Callithrix jacchus: one gene and its partners. The protein of the gene in region 1 purifies or fractionates together with the protein of each later gene. This does not show direct contact. Links are inferred from orthologs where the notes say so. Each region holds a gene or a part of one and is shown on either strand. Other genes may lie near its edges.

Region 1 (4,164 bases):
AGAAGCGCCTGCTGGTGGTCTGTTGTTAAGCTCTTAGTCTTGGAAGTGAGGTCAATGCCTAAATAGGTTATTGAGGTGACTGACAGCTGTGCTTTAGAGGGGGATACCCAGTACCTCCGAGACTTAAGAAAATTAAGGAGGATAGCGGTATGTTGCTGTGACATGGAGAAGGAGGGGCTACAAAGTAACAGGTCATCTATGTACTGGAGAAGGAGACTTGAAGGGGGCAAGAACTGAGGTTAGTCACTAATGCTTGTCTGAAAATGTGGGGGCTGTCCCTAAAGCCCTGGGGCAGGACTGTCTAGGTTAACTGTTGTGACAGGTTAGTGTCCGGATCAGTCTAGGTGAAGGCAAAGAGGAAATAAGACTCTGGGTGAAGGGGAATGGTAAAAAAAAAAAAAAAAAAAAAAAAAGGTGTCCTTCAGGTCTAGGACTGTAAAATGAGTGGTTGCGGAGGGAGTGTTGGATAATAGGGTATAGGGGTTGGGGACCACTGGGTGGAGGGGTACTACCGCCTCATTGATAAGGCGTAGATCTTCGCCTAGGTGGTAGTCACTGGATGGCTTTTGGACTGGTAAAATAGGAGTATTACAAGGAGAACTGGTGGGGATAAGGAGTCCCTGAGCTAAAAGTCGAGTGATGATTGGTTTTAGGCCTTGACGATGGTTTTTTGAGATGGGAAACTGAGGATGGGAGGGAAAGTGGGTAGGGTTTTTGAGAAATATTTTAACTGGCGTGTGATGTGTGGCCACTACAGGCTTGGAGGTATCTTATACTGAGGGGCTAACTACCTCAGGAGGGATAGGGGGTTGAGGTGAAGGGTTATGACCAGGTGCATTACCAGTTAGGGTTAGTGCTAGAAGATGTGTGGGGGATGAGGTTGGCTGTGAGGGGCCAGTGTGTTGGAGGGTGACCCCCTAGAGTTTGGAGGATGTCCCGCCCTAGTAGGGGAACTGGGCATGAAGGCATGATCAGGAAGGAGTGAGAGATTGGGTGCCCCTCAAGGTTACAGGCTAAGGGAGGAGTCTGGTTGGGGCAGGAGGGCTTTCTATCAATTCACATATCTGACACTTGGGAAGGTGTGTTAGGTCTTGAGTAAGAAGGCAACACAGAATAGGTAGCCCCCGTGTCCACCAAGAAGGAAATGGACTTACCTGCTACCTATAGCATTACTTTGAGCTCAGAAGGGCGATAGGGGTCTCCAAGTCTGGGCCACATCAGTCGTCTATGAGGCTGAGGAGTTCAAACGAAGGGACTGCATCTTTTGGACTGGCCTGCCTCTCACATGGAGGTGCAGGGGGTGAGCCTATAGTCTGGGATGGGCAGTCTACTTTCTAGTGTCCAATCCATTTGCAGGTAGGACAGGGTCCCAGGGCCAGTGGCCCTCCTGGCTGCACTTGAAACAGGGCCTGGGTGGGACCTTTGAAGCAGTCTGGGTGGGTCCAGAGAGTCCTGAGGGACCCTTTTGGGGGGCCTTTGACAGGTCCCTTACACCAGATGCTTGGTGAGTTGCCAGCCTCAGAGCCGCTACAAGAGCTTGGGTTTGGAGGCTCACCTGTTGCTGTAGCTGGGCCTGGTGGGTGGCCTCAGCTTTTTCCTCTCCGCCATTAAAAACTTTAAATGCCATGTTTACCAGGTCTCATATGGGAGTTTGGAGGCCCTCCTCTGCCTTCTTTAGTTTTTTTCTAATATCTGGTGCTGACTGGGAAATAAAATGGGCTGCTAGGAGGGTAGCCCCAGCTGAAGAGTCTGGATCTACTCGGGTATGGCCCTTCATACCCGAGTAGATCCAGACTCTGTGTTGTTTTCGCTGGGAACTGCACTCCAGAGCTGTTCCTATTTGGCCGTCTTGGATCCACCTTTTGGGTTACAATTTTTAAATGTCCCTATTCTCTCTTTTGGAAACTGGTTGTGCAGGTTTGTGAGCAGATTTGAACCTCCAGGGGGCAGCATTTACAAATGTTTTTCCACCACTGAGGTCCCTGTCAAGAAGAAGTGGTGAGATGTAGAGGAAGGGATATGGGCTCTGCCGGCCTAGTCTGCAGTCCTAACGTGGACCATGAGCCCCAGAAACTGTGTGTAAACTGGGGTTAGTAGTACACAATGCAGGAGAACTTGATCTGCAACCGCTACTGGTCCTGGGGGTCTGCTGCCTGCTAAGGGGGCAGCACTAGTTGGCATCGCCCTTGCTATCCCCATTTCACAAATAAGGTACAGGAATAGTTACAGCAGGTCCATTGATCAGTGGAGCTTCCCAAGCTGGAATTGAGAGGCAGCTGGGGTTTCACCTAGGACTTTGGACATTAGTGCAGAGTGCCAGGCCTGGGTACTGCCCTGGAGTGAAGAATCATGTGTAATTTACAGGACGTTTTAGAGGCCTCTTAGAAAGTGCTTTCAGGTTCTTGGTAAGACTCATGTAAGAAGCTTCTATATGAATCATATATCTGTGTCTGTCACAAAGCTGAAAATGAAGCCATCATTTTGATAGCATTTTGGAAAACAAAGAAATACTATTTAGATGTGAATAAAGTTCAATGATGAGAAAAGCTATGAAAGTCAAAAGAGGCCTATTAATAGTGAGAATGAAAACTCATCTATAACCTTGCTCCCTTCCCACACACATGTGCAGTTTAACAGTTTGATTTTTTACAATGCACTCGCACTAATCGTATGCCACCAGCTTCTCATTGTGCAGCATGTGTTAGACATCTTTCCTCGTCAGTACATAAGGAGCAACCTCTGCCTTTTCACCAGTCCCCACACTACGCTGAGCTTCTGAGAGCAGCTGCAAGGCAAGAGGGGCTCAAGGGGCAGGGAGCTTGGGGGTAAGGTGGTCCCAATCATCCATATGGGGAGGGGATTAGAAAGAGAAGATTAGTACCTCAGTTCCTTAAAGTGGGCTTTCAAAAAGCTCTTCACTAACCATCCAAGTGATCGTCTCTTTGGGTTAAATGGTTCCCCGTATTTAATTCTTGGAGCACAGCCTCAGAGTACTGGGAGGTGGCTTAGAATAGTTTAGTGTCACACATGGAGAAACATGTCCTTGATGGCTTCTCTCCTAGCTGGGCCAAGGAGTGCTGGATATGTGCTAGGCATTTCAACTGAATCCAGATTGAGGTATGGGTCCATAGGAACGATGGCTCCTGTTGTTCTGCACCAGCTGAGTAGCCTGCGAGGACTGGACCAGTTTTGTATTTTCTGAAACATTACAGAACATCTCTCACATTGTCCTTGCTTATCTTCCTGTTCCAGGATTGATACTGCCAAATGGAAACATTAACTGGAACTGCCCATGCCTTGGGGGAATGGCCAGCGGCCCCTGTGGGGAACAGTTCAAGTCGGCCTTTTCCTGCTTCCACTATAGCAAGGAGGAGATCAAGGGGTCAGACTGTGTAGACCAGTTCCGGGCCATGCAGGAATGCATGCAGAAATACCCAGACCTCTATCCCCAAGAGGATGAGGATGAGGAAGAGGAAGAAAAGAAGAAGCCAGCAGAACAAGTACCAGAAACAGCTCCCTCTGAAGCCACTGCAACCAAAGAGGAAGAGGAGTCAAGTTAATGAAGGCCACAAGGCACTGGGCTCCAGTCCTTCCACTTCAGTGATATGGACCTTTTGCAAGATGCCTTTTAGTCACCTTTCCAGAAAGTGTCTTTCCCTCTGTTGTCCTGTGCACTGTAATATGCAAAATAACTTATTTTGATGATCAGGGGTCTTGGCCTCTTGACATATACACTGAAAAAAATGGGGGTTGTATGTGTGTCCTACCTAAACCTGTAGCCGCCACTTTGATAGAATGCTGAATAAGCTCAGCAAGTAAAAACCATTACCCAGGAACCTTGCTTGTGAGTGAGCTGATACATTCTGATTCATTATATTCCTCTTACTAGATTTTATACCCCTTGGGGAAATAATACAAGTAATAGAAACAAAAACATCTTCTCTTAAAAATGCTGGGGTGGGGCCATATCTACTAGCAGAGGCCAGATGGTCAGATACAATTTCTGCAAACCCATCTTGACCTTGAGTATGTCAAGGGGTACTGTATTTCATTCCCGATACATTGTGGTTTCCATGTTGGTGTTGAGCTCCTGGTTTTGTGTTGTTTGGACAAAGAAGATTTGGGCCCTTTCACTTAGTCCCTTTCTAAGTGAAGGGAGAGGCT
Region 2 (5,560 bases), on another chromosome or scaffold:
GCCTCTAATTTTACAGTAAGTGTCTCGTTAATTTAGTTGAAAGGCCATTCCTAAGCCTTTACAAGCAGTTTTAATTACAAAATATGCATATTCTGATTATTCAGTAATATGTAGAATCTCTCAACTTCTAATTCAACTTGAATTAGTAGACTCTTGTCTCTTTTTCAATCTGTCCCTCAAACCTAGGTTTTACAAGCCTGTATCCGAGGTTTATAAGCTAGTATCCCAGTTTCTACAGTCACCTGTCTTTGTAAAATGTTTCAAGGAGGCTTTAATATTCATAACATGAACTCAATATATTACTATAAAATTTACATTTAATAAGTAAATCTATTAGGGTTTACTATCGTGTTGCTAATGAGTCATGTAATAGCCACTTTAAAGAGAAAGCGCTACTTAAAACATAAATGAAAGCCACATATTACGGTATCAATACTTTTCAGCATTTTATTGGAGAAGAGTAAATCTAGCAAATTTCCAAAATACAGCATCTAATCCAGGCTGGGTTACAATTTTTAAAATCGATTCACTCTAATCAATCATACAAAGTCCTACAAGAAGTTGTACATGTGAAAGTAATTTAATTTTTTTTTTTTTAAGACCGGGTTTCACCATGTTGGCCAGGCTGGTCTCGAACTCCTGACCTCAAGTGATCCACAAGCCTTGGCCTCCCAAAGTGCTGGGATTACAGGCATGAGCTACCGCGCTCAGCCTTTTTATTTATTTATTTATTTTATTTTTTTGAAGTAAGCTTTCTGTCAACAATTCAGACTTTACACGAACTTAATTGACCTTCCCTGAGTGTCTAAATTTGGTTAGGTATTTGAAGATTAGCCACATCTGTAAACATGGTATATGGAGGTGAAACAAATAGCTTTTATCATGCTCTTATTCCATGAAGTCCACAAAACATGCTAAATCAAATGTAGAGTATCACGTCATATCCAGAATAAAAGTAATAGATCACAACTTAAAATTACAGTGCTGCCTTTAATCAAAAAACTTGCTCGCTTCTCACTGTGTATAATGTAGCACTAACATGGTCTTCCGAACAGTGCTTCTTGGTATAAAACCAAGAAATATTAAAGAACAGGAATAAGGTTATGTTTCCTCTGGATATATTTCAGAAAAGAAAATATTTCCAACGACTATGACTGTAGATGGGATTTTGTACACTCTCAACAGGTGACAAAATTTAAAACTAGGTAACTGCCTTCATAAGGAACTTGAAACTAAAATTTTCGCCACAAAAACATGACATGTGCAAAAGTTATCTCTCTGGCCATCACTTCTGCTAGGGACACTGGCAAGGACATGGGCAACGTAACAATCGATCAAAAAGATTCCAGGGGAACTGCGCAACAGCCTGGGGCCAAGAAGCGAAACTTGGTCTTCTCCATCCTCGTCTCACTCGTTTTTCCAGAGCCTTCCTGCGTGAAGGCAACACTTGTCACGAGCGGCTGGACTTAGGACAGGCAATTTGCCCTGCCACCCTTCTGTCACCCCCACCCCTCCCTTACTTAAGGCCGATGGCAGAGACGTCCTCCTCCCCCTTCTCCTCCTCTTTGGTGCCTCCAGCCAGGAGGCGGGAGCGACCCACAGCAGCTGACCCAGCTCAGGCACTGCCTCTCCCACAGCCCTCAAGACACACCATGGGCCCAGAGGCAGGTTTGCTACACAGCAGTGACGACGCAGGTGGCGGCCCCGGCGACACTCAACTGCCTCCCTGACCACAGCGACCACCGCCTAACACCCCCGAGAAGCCATCGCCACCACCGGCAGGAGAACCTAGGGTCCATTAAAGCCATCTTCGCGATCAACTCAAGCTACGTCAACAACTATGGCGGGGGAGGGGCGGCGGCCGGAGGCGGTGCGGGAAGGATTGGGTATGTACGTCACCCCCAGGGCCCCCATCCGAGAAGGAAGGGGCCGGCTCGCCCCTCAAAATGGCGGCAGCAGCGATGCGCCTGCGTACGCAACTCCTCTGTCGCGCCAGGGCCGGCGGGAAGTGAGGTTTTCTGAGGAGCCGCCAGAAGTGTACGGCGACTTCGAGCCCCGGGTGGCCAAAGAAAGGTCCCCGGTGGGAAAACGAATCCGGCTAGTAGAGTTCCGGCCCGATTCGGCGAAAGAGGAAGTGAGAGAAAGCGCGTACTATCTTCGGTCTAGGCAGCGGAGGCAGCCGCTACCCCAGGAAGCTGAAGAGATGAAGACGCGAAGGGCTACCCGCCTTCGGCAGCAGCACTCAGAGCAGTCTCCGCTACAGCCGTCTCCCGCTACGGCTAGGAGAGGGCTGCGGGACTCTCATTCCTCTGAAGGTGAGGACCGCGGAGGTAACAGTCCCAACCGCGAGCTAGGGAACGCGCGAGGGCGGGCGCGCGCCTCGGTGGATCTCACCCCGGCCTGGGTACTAAGTACTGGGATTGGGTAGTGGGTATTGGGTACTCCTCAGCCCCCTCCGGACGTGTGCCCCCGTGCAGCGTCCATCCTGACCCGCTAGCGGGAAGGAAGCGCCGAGCCAAGGAGTGGAAAGATGGTCGTACGGAGCGACCGAAGCAGGGCTGGGGCGCTCTGCCCAACATCGGGCATCAATTTAGGGGAGTCAGGGCTGCCTGTTTCTGCAGGCCTTCACGAGGGGACAGCGAATTATTCCAGGTTTGGTTTCATTTCGGTTTTCTCTACCCTGCGGATGTTTCTACCGAAACCACTTCCATTTCCTTCTTTAAAGCTCACAGGCCAGAGTCCCCAGCTGAGGATCTAACCTTCCAGTCTTTTTCCCTCCCCACCCAGATGGGGAGAGAAGGAGAGATTTTGTGAGTGGGCATTTCGAGGGGTTGCCGAGTTCAGTGAATTGATTTGAGACCTCACCCAGTGCTTACACCGAAATGGGGTAACTCATTTATCCTGCACTGATGTTCCCCAGTGTCTGATACACTTGAGCTGATTGCTCTTTCTCCAGTATGGTGGTCCCTGCTAAAAATGTGCCACTTTGGTGAGCGTCACTGTAACCTAAAGTAGTGTGGTAAATCAGGCTGACAAAGCAACGTGAAAAACAAGACTATTCATTAGCATTTTCATCCAAATGGACAAAAGGGATGCTGACAAAGTGAAGGTACAGTGTTAGGTAAGTGGTAGGTCAATCAGTTTCCTTAACCTATTCCTCCCACCCCGCCCTCCACTCCCCATTCTGGAACCTAACACTGAGTCACAGATGAAGTTTCATGTTAGTCCCACGGTAAGGTACCTGCGAGGTAAAAATCAGCGGATCTGAGTCACCATGGGATGACACAGTTTGTGGTAGACTATTGATTTGAGGAAGAGTGGGTTTGCACTTTAGAGCACGGTGATAGACTGCAGGTTTTCCTGCTGACTCGTGAAGGTACTGACAGATTTGAAGACTTGATTTTGGAAACTTTATGTTAAAGTTACGTCAGTTACTTTTGGATGTAGCAGCTCAAGACAGTGTGGCCCATATATGTGTTAGTTTTATCTCTTTTAAGATTAAAAGTTTTTGCAGACAAGGAGCCTATTATATATAGTTGATAGTAATTTAAGTACTTGGTTTAATCCAGTATCTTTCAATACTTGGAAGAATGCTTTGCACATGGTAGGCAATAAATATGTTGCATTGTATTGAGTCCCACAGAGCCCAGTGCAGTTATATCGGCTAACTTTTTTTAGAAGTAAAGAATGTACCCCTATTCTATTAAATCTTTAAGGATCTAAACATTTTTCACTCTTCTGCTTTCTTCCACACCATTTGTGACTCTCTACTCCATCTTTTTACTTTTCTGAAGTAATATATTTTTATAAAACAACAATGCAAATATTTTTATGTTCTGATGAATTAGTTATATTCTATCTCAAGAGGAATTCTGACTAGTTTAATTCCTAAGTTTGGTAAACCTAACTACCTGTTTCTAAAGAAGTGAATTCCTTGCATTTTTGCTTTTGTTATTGTTATAAAAATCCGTAATCTGTGCCATGATCTCCCAGGTCATGTTCTGAATTTTAACTCTTGTTACATCTGTTTTTTTAGAGGATGAATTATCTTCCCAAAGTGATTTAAGCCAAACAATCTCAAAGAAAACTGTCAGGACCACACAGGAGGCTCCAGGTAAGAATAGTTAACCTTTTGTTTTTCTCCTTACCTGCCAGCTTTTTAAATGTTCATTGAATTAAGCAATGTAAGTATGTGTAAAGAAAAGACAAGGGCAGACATGTGAGTACTCAGAGGAGCAGCCACCCATATAACCTTGAAAGATAAATATTATACCAACTTCATAGAAGAGAAAACTGAAGCTCAGAGAAACTAAGACAGTTCTCTAAGATCACATTATGTGACTGAACCCAATATTCAAACCCAGGTTTGTCTTCTCCAGAGTCCTTTCATTCTCCCCCAAGTGGCTCAGTGTCATTCTCTCATGTCCTAACTAGCTACTTAGTGAAGTTTGTTAGGTATCAAATGAACGAATGTGTCATACTGCCCTCTTGTTTAAAATGGATTAAGTTTTCTTCTTGGTAAAATCTTGACACAATGTATTCAGTCTTTTCAGTTTAATACTGTGATTTGTCAAATCTAAGATGCCATCAACTGTAAGAAACATCATCATTGTTAGGCCGGGCATGGTGGCTCACACCTGTAATCCCAGCACTTTGGGAGGCCGAGGTCAAGAGATCGAGACCATCCCGGTCAACATGGTGAAACCCCATCTCTACTAAAAAAATACAAAAAATTAGCTGGGCATGGTGGCGCATGCCTGTAATCCCAGCTACTCGGGAGGCTGAGGCAGGAAAATTGCCTGAACCCAGGAGGTGGAGGTTGCAGTGAGCCGAGATCGTGCCATTGCACTCCAGCCTGGGTAACAAGAGCGAAACTCCATCTCAAAAAAAAAAAAAAAGAAGAAAGAAACATCATCATTGTTTTATGTACCACCTAGCAGGGGAAAATGCTGCCAATTTTTTGGTAATTTATGGTAATATGCCATAATTATATGATGCATCCCAATTTCAGAGTTGTTGGGATGTTAAAGGGTGTAAAAAACTTGTCTTAGAATCAATGTAACATGGAAGTAGGCTATATTTAACAGTTTACTTAAGTTTTAAAAGCTGTTTAAAATATTTTAAAAAGCTGGAGAAAGGGTTAAGTTCAGTTAAGTTAATGCTTTGGGTTTTAGTTCCATTTAATTTTCAATTTGCTTTTTTTGATATTAGGAAAGTCTCACAATAATAAATGACCATAGCTGTTAAAACTGATCATCCCTGGTTTTTAGTACCCACATCCTGACTTCTTAACCGTGGTTTCTGATAATATTATGCCTTATAAAGTGAACCATTCTATTCTGAATTTAGAGTAAATATATCTGATTCGAGTTCAGTTTCAAATAAACATACCTTTATGCTAATTTTTTTCTTTTTTTTTTTTTTTTTGAGACAAAGTCTCGCTCTGTTGCCCAGACTGTAGTGTAGTGGCACCATCTCCACTCACTGCAACTTCCACCTCCTGGGTTCAAATGATTCTCCTGCTTCAGCCTCCCAAGTAGCTGGGATTACAGGCGCCTGC
Region 3 (5,463 bases), on another chromosome or scaffold:
GAAATTGTCCGCAGCAGCGCTGACCATGAGCAGACAGCGCCACCTGTTGACCAAAAGCTGCACTTCAGTACCTAGAAAGAGCTTTATTGCTCTCTACCCCTAAGAGGAGCAACGGCTTTGAAGTTTTCCACTACATCTGTCATCTTCACCTCCCACCAAACTTAGCAATGAAAAAAAAGCTAATGTTACTGCATACTGAATGTATGCTAGGCACTCTCCTAAGTGCTTTGGTTGTTAACACGTTTAATTTTTGCAACTTCCTAAGAGGTAGGTAACCTTACTGCCATTTTACGATGGGGTAATTGAGGCACAGGGCAGTTAAAATGCCTCACCCAAGATCACACTACCAGAAAATTTCAGTAGAAACTCAAAGTTACATAGTCTGGCTTGAACCTGCACTCACAAGCCCCAAACTCACTGCCTCTATTCTATCTCCTTTATGTCAATGACCTAGTTACATCCCAGACACTTTCGCCAGGAAGGCCAACTTTGAAGGTACTACTGTCACAGTGGCATTGATGTCAACCACAGTCCCATCTGGAGACCTACACATTCTGAAAACTGCTCAGTCCTCTGAAGATGCTCCTCGGTGAGACAGCAAACGCAGTAGCAGTCGGGTCTGGCCTCCATATTATTGCTCTGCTTGTGTGAACTCAAGCAAGCAACATGCTTCTTAAATCCTCAGCTTCCTCATCTGTAAAACAGGGATAGTCAAAGGGCTAACCATGTTTGACTAACCGTTTTACAGATGAAGAAGCGAAAGCAGGCAAAAATGACAGGTTCAGGGCCACATAAAAAACAGCAGAAAGCAGGCAAACTGAAGCTGTCTTCCTGTTTTGTTTTGGTTTTTTGTTTTTTTTTTTTGGAGACAGAGTCTTGCTCTGTCCCCCAGGTTGGAGAGTACAGTGGCACAATCTCGACTCAGGCAACCTCTACCTCTGAGGTTCAGACAATTTTCCTGCCTCAGCCTCCTAAGTAGCTGGGATTACAGGCACATGCCACTACACCCAGGTAATTTTTGTATTTCAGCAGAGATGGGGTTTTGCCATGTTAGCCAGGCTGGTCTTGAACTCCTGACCTCAAGTGATCACCCACGCCCCAAGCCTCCCAAAGTGCTGATTACAGAGTGAGCAACCATGCCGGACTGTCTTACTCTTAAAATACTACATTAGTCTCCTCTCTGCTTGTGAGGTTTTCTCTGTTTACTCTCAAATGCCAAGCACACTGCTTTGCACATAGTAGGTGTCAACAAAGTTGTTTTAATATATATATATATATATACACACACACATACATTCACACACAGTCACATTCCAGTGTGACAAATACTCCTTCACCAGGAGAAAGCACTACCACTCTGGGATCTTGAAGACTCTACCGAGAGCCTAGGCCTGGCAGTCTTCACAGATGACACCCAACAGAGGGCACTTTTATTCGAGTGGGGAGGGGTGGGATATAGCCCAGGGTATATACTGACTGAGACCTCACGCGGGCCCAGAGCTCTGCTGCACCCTCTTCATCAGCTCTTCATCCTGCATAGACAACTCTGTCAACTTTTTGCCCATCCGCTCATGGATGTCCAGGTACTTAGACACACATCGGTCCAGGCACACAGACTCGCCCTTGGACAGCTCTGCTTCCTTGTAGTGAGGAGGCACACACTTCCGGTGGCAGGCACTGGTCATTCTGGAGGGAGGGAGGGGCAAGGTCATGTCAGCAGCATCCTGTGACATCCCAGGAACCCTCGACCATCCCAGCCCTGCTATATTGATTTCACCTTCCCCAAGAAAGCACTATAAATCCTCAGTTTCCACCTCAACCACTGGAAGCTCCTTGCAAGCAGGACACTTGTCTGAGCCCCTGTATATGACTAATTAAGCAGAAAGCATTTGTTAAACTGGCTATGTGCCAGGCATCATGCTAAGTGCTTTACATGCATTCTGTTATGCAATCCTTACAATCACCCTAAGAGATACTTATCCCCATTTTACAGATGAGGAAATTAAGCCAAGAGAGGCTCGGTAATTTTCTAAGAATCACATAGAGCTAAAATATGAACACAGATCATCTGGCCTCACTTCCTACACTTAAAAATCCTTCCTAATTTATAGCCTTCAGGGTAAACCAACCAATCAAGAGAGGTTAAGTCAATAAAAATAGCAGATATTTCACTGTTGCTAAGTGTTGGACTTGAGGCTAAGGGCTTTCAGAAATTTTTAAATGTAATATATATAATACCCTATGAGGTAGGTATCATTATGTCTTTTTCATAATGAGGAAACCAATTGTCAAACAGTGCAAGTAACACGTCCAAGAACACTGCTGGTGATTGGTGGAGCCGGGATTTGTTCCCAAATTTGCCAAATGATTATGAGCACTAGTTGCAGAATCAGACTGAGGTGCTAGTTCTGGTGTTGTTACTGACCAACTGCGGACTCTGAGGAAGTTACTTAACTTCTAGAAGCATCAATTTCCTCATTTTAAGATGGGACTAATAAAATTAACCCACTGGATTATTTTGAAGATTAACAAGTGACTGACACAGAATAAAGGGTTTTGTTTTTTGTTTTTTTGAGATGGAGTTTTGCTCTTGCTGTCCAGGCTGGAGTGCAGTGGCACAATCTCAGCTCACCACAACCTCCGTCTTCTGGGTGCAAGTGATTCTCCTGCCTCAGTCTCCCTAGTAGCTGGGAATACAGGTGCCTGCCACCATGCCCGGATAATTTTTGTATTTTTAGTAGAGATGGGATTGTGCCATGTTGGCCAGACATCTGGAACTTCTGACCTCGTGATCTGCCCACCTCGGCCTCCCAAAGTGCTGGAATTACGGGCATGAGCCACTGCCTCGGCCAAGGGCTTTAAAATGTTAACTACTAAATGGGCTGGCTATGTGCTATTTGCCAAAAAGCAAATACTCAGCTTTTCAGCTTTTCTTGGAACCTAACCAGAGCCTGAATTGGAGTTTCTCTTCCTGCTTGGCTCCCGCATCTCCAGTTCTATCCCCATCTAAATATTCTAGTGACCCTTTACTGCATCTGCATTAGAATCAACCTTGAAGGTGGGTATGGTGAGAGTAAGCATGGGTCTCTCGCTCCCCTACATTCAGGATGAAATTTGTTATAAGTCATTCACCTTCGAAAAGGGTGGCCAAGGCTTATTTTCCAAGACAGTGTAGCACATGGTTCTCTTTACCTGTTGTACATATCGGCCATCATCTCCACCTCCAGCTCTGCGGCCAGCTGTTGGGCCCTGAGCGGATCCATCTTGGCCTAGCACCCTGGAAGGGATCTCCTTCTGGCCTCCTAATCCTGGGAGGAGACACCACCGTCATCACCCACTGCCGTCGTTCACTCTCCTACCCCGGGGCTAGAGGATCCAAAAGACTCACAGGGCGCCAGACCACCAGGGGCCACTAACCTCAGTGAGCTTAACCTAGCTTAACCCCATTTCACGGATGTGGAAACTGAGGCCTAGTCCAAGGTCGCACGGGACATTCACGGCGAGCCTGGAAATCGAGCCCTGGATCTCTGATACCCAAGTCCCTAGAGGTCATCTCTATTCAGAAGATCGAGGACCGGTTCAGAACGCTCTAACCCAGGCCTGAACCTCCAGGGCCCTGGGAATGAGATCATACGCTGAACAGAGGAGACCGGGACCCGGCCCAAAGGATGCACTTCTGAAATGGTGACGCCATAATCAGGGACACATTGAATTCAGAAGTCACGGATCACTCACCACTACCTGGGACGGATCACAATGCCCACGGAGACCTTACAAATACTATAACGTTACCTGCCTCCCAAGAAGGCTCCAGCGGAAGCACGTGGATTACTTCCGGGAGAGAAGTCCCGCCTCTTCTTGGCTCCAAACTCGCTTCCGGAATGAAATACCAACGAGACGGCTCCGGGAACTCGGCGATCTTACAAAGGGAGCGAGCGGCGCCGGGCGAAGAGGAAGGCGATTTGCCAGTGCTAGAGGGGACGCCAAAGTACCATAGAGGCTTGGGCTGGGTGCAGAGCGCCTGCGGCCCGATCAGAATTCAAGTCTCAGGTTGTCACCGAGAGTTTTCAGTTTATTGGTTCTGTAGGAAGAGGTGTGGCGACAGATATCAGTGAACCTCACCCCCGTCCGGGACAGCCACAAATCAGGCGTGGAGACGGAAGAACACCCCCAACAGCGGTTCTCAGTTTTTGTTTCGCGTTAAAATCACCTGGAACGCTTTTAAAAATCCCAGTGCCCACGACTCGCCTCATTTCAATTAAATCAGAATCTCTGCGAGTAGGACCCAGGTATCAGTACAATTTAAAATTCCCCAGGTGATTCGTTTGTACAGCCAAATTTGAGAAGCAGTGCTCCATAGGACGTTGTGCGATTACTGCTGTGTGTAGATCACACTAACACTGTCTGGGTTGCAAAGATAAGCGAGATACGGTTCCTGCTTACAGAAAGAGGAGACGTGTGAAATACGTTTTCTTCAACAGTGAGAGGCCCTGAGCCATAAAAAGATTAATAAACGCAATTTAGGCTGCCACCAGGACTAATCTTGGGTGAGGCAGAAGGAGGGTACTGGTGAACTTCTCATCTTTCAAGACTTAATGTATTCCTCAAACTGCACCATTCGCTCATTGCCCACTAAAAAGAAGGAAACAACACTCAGTCCCTTGATTTGTCACACAATTTCCTAGTAAAATAAATTTACAAGATGTAAATTAATGACTCAAGGGTACATTGCCCATTGGAAAAGGTGGGCTAGACATTTTATATGTATGGTCGTCACATGCTTCTCTAATTGTCCAGGACCATCCTGATTTTAAACAGCTGACCTTCCTACTGCTCTGAAGACTCATCTTTGTCAAACCTTGTGCCCCGATTTTTTAAGATTGAGGTATAACATTCATGAAGTGCATAAAATACACAACTCTAAAGCTTATATATATATATACATTCATATAACCACCACACAGATCAGGATATGCTTCCTGTACCCCAAAAAGTTATCTAGTGTTCCTTCCCCATCAATACTCCCTCTCGAAGTTAACCACTATTCTGACCTGTATCACCATCAATTAGTTTTCCCTGTTCTTGAACTTAAGGTAAATGGAATTATACATTATTTTCTATTTTGTGCCTGACTTCTTATTTATTTATTTATTTGAGATGGAGTCTCACTGTTGTCAGGCTGGAGTGCACTGGCACGATCTCGGCTCACTGCAACCCCCACCTGCCCAGTTCAAGCGATTCTCCTGCCTCAGCCTCCTGAGTAGCTGGGATGACAGGGGTGTGCCACCACTCCCAGCTAACTTTTGTATTTTTAGTAGAGACGGGGTTTCACCATGTTAGCCAGGATAGTCTCGATCTCTTGACCTCCTCATGATCCACCCGCCTCAGCTTCCCAAAGTGCTGGGATTACAGGTGTGAGCCACCCCACCGGCCTGTGCCTGAGTTCTTTAGCTCAATTTACCT

What was found. The genes of interacting proteins can lie anywhere in the genome.
Region 2: the proteins of CHCHD4 (region 1) and TOR1AIP1 purify together in Homo sapiens (co-immunoprecipitation; 3 studies listed by BioGRID and IntAct, with this or other methods). This does not show direct contact. The link is inferred for Callithrix jacchus from reciprocal best matches to the Homo sapiens genes CHCHD4 and TOR1AIP1.
Region 3: the proteins of CHCHD4 (region 1) and TIMM10 purify together in Homo sapiens (co-immunoprecipitation; 4 studies listed by BioGRID and IntAct, with this or other methods). This does not show direct contact. The link is inferred for Callithrix jacchus from reciprocal best matches to the Homo sapiens genes CHCHD4 and TIMM10.

The regions. Positions count from the first base shown.
Region 1 is NC_133516.1:71,077,437-71,081,600, reverse strand, and holds part of CHCHD4 (mitochondrial intermembrane space import and assembly protein 40), read left to right. Parts: intron 1-3,252; coding exon 3,253-3,560; 3' UTR 3,561-4,164.
Region 2 is NC_133519.1:23,485,994-23,491,553, reverse strand, and holds the start of TOR1AIP1 (torsin-1A-interacting protein 1), read left to right. Parts: upstream 1-1,730; 5' UTR 1,731-1,840; coding exon 1,841-2,315; intron 2,316-4,036; coding exon 4,037-4,114; intron 4,115-5,560. Other genes in the region: uncharacterized protein LOC144580249, read left to right, coding at 1,530-1,730. UniProt on the Homo sapiens protein: Required for nuclear membrane integrity. Induces TOR1A and TOR1B ATPase activity and is required for their location on the nuclear membrane. Binds to A- and B-type lamins. Possible role in membrane attachment and assembly of the nuclear lamina.
Region 3 is NC_133511.1:115,097,287-115,102,749, forward strand, and holds TIMM10 (mitochondrial import inner membrane translocase subunit Tim10), read right to left. Parts: upstream 3,831-5,463; 5' UTR 3,797-3,830; exon of another isoform or gene 3,736-3,796; intron 3,642-3,735; exon of another isoform or gene 3,418-3,641; intron 3,309-3,417; 5' UTR 3,264-3,308; coding exon 3,193-3,263; intron 1,687-3,192; coding exon 1,485-1,686; 3' UTR 1,242-1,484; downstream 1-1,241.